Linked DNA regions of Nothobranchius furzeri. The protein of the gene in region 1 purifies or fractionates together with the protein of each later gene. This does not show direct contact. Links are inferred from orthologs where the notes say so. Each region holds a gene or a part of one and is shown in the gene's direction. Other genes may lie near its edges. The genes, in order: wwox and vopp1b.

Evidence for each region.
Region 2: the proteins of wwox (region 1) and vopp1b purify together in Homo sapiens (affinity purification with mass spectrometry; 3 studies listed by BioGRID and IntAct, with this or other methods). This does not show direct contact. The link is inferred for Nothobranchius furzeri from reciprocal best matches to the Homo sapiens genes WWOX and VOPP1.

What each region holds. Positions count from the first base shown.
Region 1 is NC_091744.1:72,868,425-72,872,249, reverse strand, and holds part of wwox (WW domain-containing oxidoreductase), read left to right. Parts: intron 1-3,007; coding exon 3,008-3,193; intron 3,194-3,825. UniProt on the Homo sapiens protein: Putative oxidoreductase. Acts as a tumor suppressor and plays a role in apoptosis. Required for normal bone development. May function synergistically with p53/TP53 to control genotoxic stress-induced cell death.
Region 2 is NC_091747.1:31,074,242-31,078,590, reverse strand, and holds the start of vopp1b (WW domain binding protein VOPP1), read left to right. Parts: upstream 1-1,453; 5' UTR 1,454-1,691; coding exon 1,692-1,742; intron 1,743-4,349. UniProt on the Homo sapiens protein: Increases the transcriptional activity of NFKB1 by facilitating its nuclear translocation, DNA-binding and associated apoptotic response, when overexpressed. May sequester WWOX in lysosomal vesicles and thereby regulate WWOX role as tumor suppressor.

The sequences.
Region 1 (3,825 bases):
GTGGTCAGCTTTAATGGTGTGTGTCTTGCATCCGATCCGGTCGTTTCGTTGCTATTTTGAGGTCATGAATATTGTCATCCACCCGTAGGACTCTATGGAGAGGAGTGTGTTTGTGTGTGTGTGTGGGTGTGCGTGTCTGTGTGTTGGTATCAAGGGAGCCCTTTGGGGAGCGCCAGGGCAGTCATCGCCCATAGCAGCCCTGGGGCAGGGTATGGCCATCCAGGGCACACGCCTTTGGTCACGGCCAATCCTCACGGTGGCTTCACTCTCTCCGTTTCCCAAAGTTTCATTCCAGCTCATCCACGTGTTCCTTTCACTCCTCTGTTCATGACATTGCTCTCTCTCTCTCTCTCTCTCTCTCTCTCTCTCTCTCTCTCTCTCTCTCTCTCTCTCTCTCTCTCTCTCTCTCTCTCTCCCATTGCTTTTTAAACTAATTGTTTATCTGCAGTTTCTCTGTCTGTCCTTCTTTCATGTTGTCTCCATCTGCGTCGCTCTCTCTTTATCTCAGTATTTTGGCAAGGTTGTATTTCTTCATTAGCCGTGCGGTTTGGGGGTGGACGGGACTCCCAGGGGACGTCAGAGTACATTAATTCTCATCAGAAGGCGAACAGAGCGGAGTGGAGGCTGGGAGCTCTGAGCTGTGAATGGCACTGGGCAGCTGTCTGAGTCTACCACCACTCTATTACTGCACGTATGTCTTCAGGCATAACACACGCACGCAAATGCACGCACGCACAGGTATGTGCACACCTCCTCAGACAGCTATGTGCACAGATGCAGACACACATGGGTTTGTAAACACGTGTGCACAGTAATGCTCCTGCAGCGTGTCATTGACAGGTGAAATGTAATCAGAGTCTTTTTCTTTTCGTTCTCTCGTTTCTCACTCTCCTGCTTTTAAGTGCTTTAGTCAGTGGCTTTCACGCTGCTCTGTGTTCCATTGACCCCGATTCTGCTTTAATTGCCTGTCCTTTGAAATGAAATTACCTGGATATTGATATTGTTGAATGCAGCAAGATTTCATTGGGACATAATTGATGGAGGACGCCGCTGACAGAAAGCCCTAATACAATTTCTACTGAACGCGCCGTAATTAACACGTGCAATTTGTCCCCACAGCTGATCTTTTCTCTTTTTTTCATACTCCTCCATTCATCCTTCTCTCATTTAAACCCTGATTCCTCTTTCTTATCACACCATTTGCCGTTTACGTCATGAATACTTTCCGATTCATATATCTAAATTTTAAAGCCACCTTTAGGCTTAAATATGGGTCAGAAGGAGCGGTGTGTTTCCAGCTTCCTCTTTCCAATAAAGTGCTGCCTTAATGACCACCAGCTCACACAGGCAATCTCTTCCTGCTGGCCTACATTATCATAGAGGTCAGAGGTCACACCCATGGGGGTTATTTAAAGTAAATATATAAACGGACGTCTCCCTGTTTGGTAGTTAACACCCTCGTTTGACCAGCGCTGAGATTGCACAGTGCACACAGTGTTGTGTGAGGTCTTAATGTGGAGAGAGGGACTGTGGTCTGCAGCAATAGGCCTATTAAAGACATTCATTAGACCTGCGCTTATGAGAGAGGGACTAACTGGTGGGCAGTTGAATTAACAGGCCTTTTACATTACAAGCAGACTCACCAGAGGCCCATCCAAGAGCTGTGGGGGAAATTCTCTCTGCTGGTCTGAGAAAAGTTGGTTATGTGAGTTTTTCTTCCATCATAAATGTGCAATTTACTTGGAGTGACAAGCTTTGCCCCTTTGTCTTTGCAGGAAAAGGTCACAGCGTTTAATTCTCATAGCGTAAATATTAGTTTAGAGCAAACACTTCAGTGAAAGGTTAAAAACTTGGGTCAAGAGTTTGTGCCTTGATGTTATTGTGAAGCCCCTAGTGAGCCCGATGAGGACCGAGCCAAGGGTTTTTCCTTGTGTTGCACAATGATGCTGTACTTCACACTCTGTTGGACAGCAGCACTCGGGGCCAATGACAACACCTGTGATTTGCTGTCTTTTAATCACAGAGGAATTTAGCAGCAAGATGGCAACTTTTATCTTTTCTGTCAAATGATGAAATTGCACGTGTGTTTTCTCCTCCAAACCATTAAATTTAACTTCAGCTTCTTGTGTTTTGGTAAAAAAAACTAAGTACTTTACTGCTGGCGTGCATGTATGTGTGTGTGTTGATTAAATGCTGAGGTTGGCATTCTTTAAGTTGACTCACCGCCTAGGTTTGTGCTCTTTAATGAACCTAGTGTGTTCAGAGGCCTGAAGGTGATCGTACAGTGCACTACTATGTAATGGCATGGGATGGCTCATTATAGAAAGGCATAACAATTCACACATTAATTTTCCAGCATCCAGTTTTTAATTAATCCAGTAGGCAGTCTTAAACACAGGGTACACAAATTGCCTTTGGCCTCATAATTAATTCTAATGGAAGAAATTAAAAATTGGTGGGGTGTGTTTGGATTGCTCGCCTGTGTTACTGTGCTTTTGAGCTCATTGGAGCATCACTGTCACCGACAAGGATCTCTCGCTCCTTTGACCAATCCAGGAGCCTCCTTTCCTGTGCCACGTGTGGAGGTAGATCTGTTCGTCCGTTCAGTGGAAATCCAGCACATGCCTGGGCCTGTTAAACCCCACAGGCCTCTGCCAGGTGTTTAAAACATCAGGACTTGTGAGCGTTATTTCTGTCATCTTCCAGGCTGCTCTAGTGGTAGATTCGGTTACTCGGAGTACTTGCACCGCATCATCACCCATTAGGTCCACCAGCAGAGTGTTTAAATGGTTTCTTGTCATGTTGCTGCTCTTGGATTCTTGCCAGCTGCATTTAGTATCTGAGATACTTGTGTACCAAAGGGACTTTCAGGAGAAATCTCTGTATCGTATTTGTGTTACTCTCTACAGGACTCTAAAATCTCTGTTTTCACTTCTTTGTTATTTCCACATTTTTTTGTGGTATGAAAATCAATGTTGTTTTGTTTTGTTTTGTTTTTCCACCGTAGACCCTTACACATTCTGGTGTGTAATGCGGCAGTGTGCACCCCGCCCTGGAACCTAACCGAAGACGGCTTTGAGTCCACCTTCCAGATCTGCCACCTGGGTCACTTCCTCCTCGTTCAGTGCCTGCAGGACGTCCTGCGTCGTTCTGCTCCTGCCCGAGTCGTGGTTGTATCCTCAGAGTCCCACAGGTAAACACAAATAACTACAGAGATGGTGCTTAGTTTGGCATCAGTGGTTTCAAGAACAGGCTCATAAAACTAGACTTTACCACAGGGAAGATTTATTGCTATTAAACGTTCTTTTAAATTGATGGCTTATCGACCTTTTTAATTTTTAATGAGAACAGATGCATTTCTTTTTTATGAATGCGTCTTAATTTGGGAAGGCTAAAAGTGCTCTGTGGAGTTTTCTTATAAACAAACAAAGTCTCTTGTGGTTTAAAGTGTTTTGTTGAGTCATTTTGGTTCCTTGTAAAACAAAAAAAAAAGGCACATCTCAACTTTCTCATGAGTTTTTGACAACATTTTGGGAACTGTCTTTTGTAAACAGATGACTTGGAAGTTGAGATTTTATCATCCATCTATTTTCATCCGTTTATCTGGGGTCTGGTTGTGGGGGCAGCAGCCCAAATAGAGGCCCAGACATCCCTCTCCCCATCCACTTGGGCCAGCTCCTCCAGAGGAATCCTAAGGCGTTCCCTGGCCAGCCGAAAGACATACTGTAGTCCCTCCAACCTGTCCTGGGTCTCCCTTTAGCTCTTCTCCCGGTTGGACGTGCCTGGAAAACCTCGCCAGGGAGGCGCCCAGGAGGCATCCTAATC
Region 2 (4,349 bases), on another chromosome or scaffold:
TGATGCCAGAAAGACCAGGCTAAACACAGATGTGCAGCACGCATGCTGGATGCCACAGCCGTCACACGTGATTTTATTGGTTAAGTCGGTGATTCTGAAGAGAAGACAGCCCCACATGGCCGATCTCGCCTCTCTAACTGCAGAAGGGGAGCTCTAGATAAAAGTTCTACAAAGCAGTCCTCTTTCAGGGATTTTTTTCTCATGGAAAGCTTTCAGTTACTATTTTAAAAAGTTCTCCACACAAGTAACAGATAAGTGAAGACAAAACAAATAAAATTTACTCCTTAAAGCCCATGTTCTGTCTGGCTGTAGGGCAATCAGAACTGCTGTCTGAGTACCGAAAACAAGCCTCACAGTTTTACTCTTACAGGTGATTCACTAGATTCAGCTATAATCCTCCACTTGGTATCTAAACTTTATTAGAGATGCTTTTGGTTGTTTTTAATTTCAAAGAACATGGAGACGGAAATGAAAGAGAATGGGGGAGAGGAATGGAAGAGGGGGTTTCACAAAAATAAACAGTAAAAGATGTACAAGGATCAACTTCTAGACCTAAAGGAAGAGAGAGAAAAGGGGACACACAAAAATGCCCGAGTGCTGTAGGATCAGTGAGAGTTATCCCAACAGGAGCAATACCCTCACTGCTGGCTCCTGGCTCCGATCCAGGAGTCAGGTAATCAGTGGTGCTGGGGCCAAGGCCCGTGTGCGTACGCATCTACTCCCAACGGAGGCTGGTCCTGTGGTCTCAGGGAAACCCTCAGCTGGCACAGGGCATTCTCACGAGGGGCAAACACATCCATGTTGGCTTCCCCAAACATGCTGCACATCTAAGTGATCAGATCAGAGTGACGGTGTCAATCCAAGTCACGACGTTCCCCCTGAACAAGATGTCTGCTTCCACATTGAGGTGACGTGGAATGTAGGTGGTCCTGATAGACAGCAGGTGCACGAGTCCAGCATAGTAGAGCACGTGCAAGAGTGGGATTGAATGAACCGTACCATGGCCATATTTGTACACCTCTGCTACCTAACTGTCTGTGTGAACCTCGACATTATGACCCATGATCAGGGGTACGAAATGTCTGATCACATTTCCCACTGTTTGCTTTACAGCCTGTTTATGTGGGCATAGATCCGGGGAGGCCATGCTTTTCCCTGTCCCATTTTCTATTAGAAGCTCTTGCAGGAGATAGGTGTAGAAGACTATTTTCATGTTAAGCCTGCATGAAAAACTCACAGTGACCGATAGAAATAATCATTGAACATGTTTTACTATTCCACGCACGCTGAAGAGATATAAACAACCCAGAAATGAGCTCAAGCCTCAGGAGGACAGTCTCTGAACGACTAATTATCATTCACTTTCTAGTCATTTGAGTCTGTATTGTTTTTTTTTTATTGGCTTTAGGAGAAATTGGTCATCACAACCACTTTGCGCGCGCGTCATGGGAGTGGGGAGGGGCATAACGCAGCATCACCACCGGGTTCTCCCTCTCTATCTGGCCCGCCCTCCTCTTGCTTTCCTCGGCTATTAGACACGAAGAGTCCGATGCGCTGCTGGTGGATCTGGGTGGTCTCCGGTATTGGGAGGATGAAACCGAAGTAAAGGAGCAGCTCCACCTCCTCCTCGTTCTCCTCTCCTCCAGCAGCAGCAGCGGAACTTGGCTTTCTGCTCTCATACCGGCGTAGCCATGGGGACCCCACCGGTCGGACTAGCCGTGACATTGTGCTTAATCCTGGAGGTGAGCGCTGTCTATCATTATCGCGGCCGCTTCGGTGCGGTAGTCTCGGGGTTGTGGCTTTGGTGCGTTACTCCTTGTTCTGGGTTCGGTTCTGACGGAAGCACCATTATCCAGCAGCATCATGTAGTAATCACATCACCATGACACCGTCTGGGGCCCGAGCCATCCTCCAGAACAGAGCAGAATCTGTCCCTCTGGGTGGAGACGGAAACAGAGGGGAAATGAACAAAGGAGCTGAAGCAGCTGGAGGAGGAAACACCTGCACTGTTAGGCGTGGTTGGTGCTTCTGTCATCCTTTGTGTTCTCATGAATCCTCAGTAGGTCACTGGACCTGTAGGACACACACACACACACACGCACGCACGCACGCACGCACACACACACACACACACACACACACACACACACAAGCGCACATGTAAACACACACACACACTCACCTACACACATGTAAACACCCACACACACACACACACATGCACACGTAAACACAGGCACACACACACACACGCACACACACACACACACCTACACACATGTAAACACACACACAAGCGCACATGTAAACACACACACACACACATACGCATGCACACACACACACACACACACACACACACACACACACACACACACAAGTGCACATGTAATCACACACACACACCTACACACATGTAAACACACACACAAGCGCACATGTAAACACACACACACACACACACATACGCATGCACACACACACACACACACACACACACACACACAAAAGTGCACATGTAATCACGCACACACACACAAGCGCACATGTAAACACACACGCACACGTAAACACATGCACACACACACACACACACACACACACACACACACACACACACACACACACAAACAAATAAACACATGTGCACACACACACAAACTGACTAATTCTAACTGATGGATATTTGCAGTTGTGCCCATTTTGACTGACTCTATCATCTCTTTTATTCTGCTCTGTTTCTGCTGTAGCTGCTCCACCAACACACACGTCTATTCATGCAATATTAACTCACGTCATCATTATTTTATATCACTTGGCTTTCCCACTCATTTTGAATGTGATTAGGAGGAATGCCCTAAAGCCTAACTTATGCTTCTCTGTCTGCATCAGCACAGACATGCAACATCATTATGCATTGTTGCAAGGGCTCTCCAGCTGGCTCGCAGTGACGGACAGAGTAGAGCCCACTTTTCTAACTATTCGTTGAAAGCGACGGAGACGGTGAGCCTGTGATTGGTCAGGTTGCTGCTGCCTTCCTTCATCAACAGCACCACCATTCCCCCTCAAATGGTAAAAGGAGAGCCGAACATATCTTGAAAGTACATACAGTGCAGACAGTGTAAACAAACCGGTTAAAGGGCTACTAAGCCGTGTTGGCTTGCTTTTAGCACCCACTAGTGTCCCTTTAGTAAAAACAAAAGTAAAACTCCTCTCCTTGTGTGTCTTTTTAAAACATAAATCTAACCCCCAAATTCCACTACCTCCGCTCCGCTCTGACACGAACGCCAGAGCAAAATCGGTCCCGTTGTAGTCAATCAGAGCAATTCCACTACTGCGGCAGTGCGGCGCCGTGCACCGCCCTCTGTTCTGGCGTCTGGCAAAAATAGAATCGATCCTATTTTCGCCGGACGCCAGAGCACCTCCGCAGTAAATGGACAGAAATCACAACCGTCCAACAGGAAAAGGAGCGGGCACAACTTCCGTTTTTCACAATAAATCGATAAACAGAATGCGTTTTTTGTTTCATATGCACAGGTTTAACAACTTTTAACAACTATCAATGGCGGCTGAAGTTTAAATGCACAAAAGTAAGCCATGAATACAGTTTCCACTATCAAAGTAGTCACCCTTTGTTGATCCAAACACTGCTGATCTCTCAACACACATGATGGGCAGATTAATCAGTTCATGCCGATGCTTCTCCCACACAACGGGTGTTTGGATCTAACTTCCGCGTTTATTGCTCGGACTGTATCGCAAGATCTCAAAAATCCTGCGCATGCTTGTTTGCCCACCTCAGGTCTCCGCACCAGAGCGGAGCCGGTCTAGAGCGGGTACCAGTAAAAATTGAGTTTGGAAGCGAGCGGCTGCGGAAGGCGGGGGCGGACCGGAGCGGAGCGGAGGTAGTGGAATTTGGGAGTAACTGCTGATGTGTCTCCTCAGCCGTCATTAGTTTCCACATGAGCTATTCACCATTGAATGAAACAAATCAGCTGGGTTCGTAATCTAAAACCATAGACATAGATACTGGACGATAGACTGCCCAATTACCCATTTATTAATTTTTGAGTCAAAAAAGGCGGTTCCCACCACTGCCGTTTTGGTCATGTTGCGTGTCTCATCACATAGCCTGCCCATTGCTCCGCCATGTGCCAAGTTGAAGCCAAAAAAGGCGGTTCCCACCACTGCCGTTCAGGTCATGTCAAGTGTCTCGAATGAGAAAAGCGGTGGAGCTGAGGTTGAAGCAAATGAACCAATGTAGCTACTAGCTAACAGACTGCTGTGATCGTAGCTGGGCTCCTTGGCCATTTACGCCAGTTCATCCTCCGCCGTAGTTGGTTAGCTAC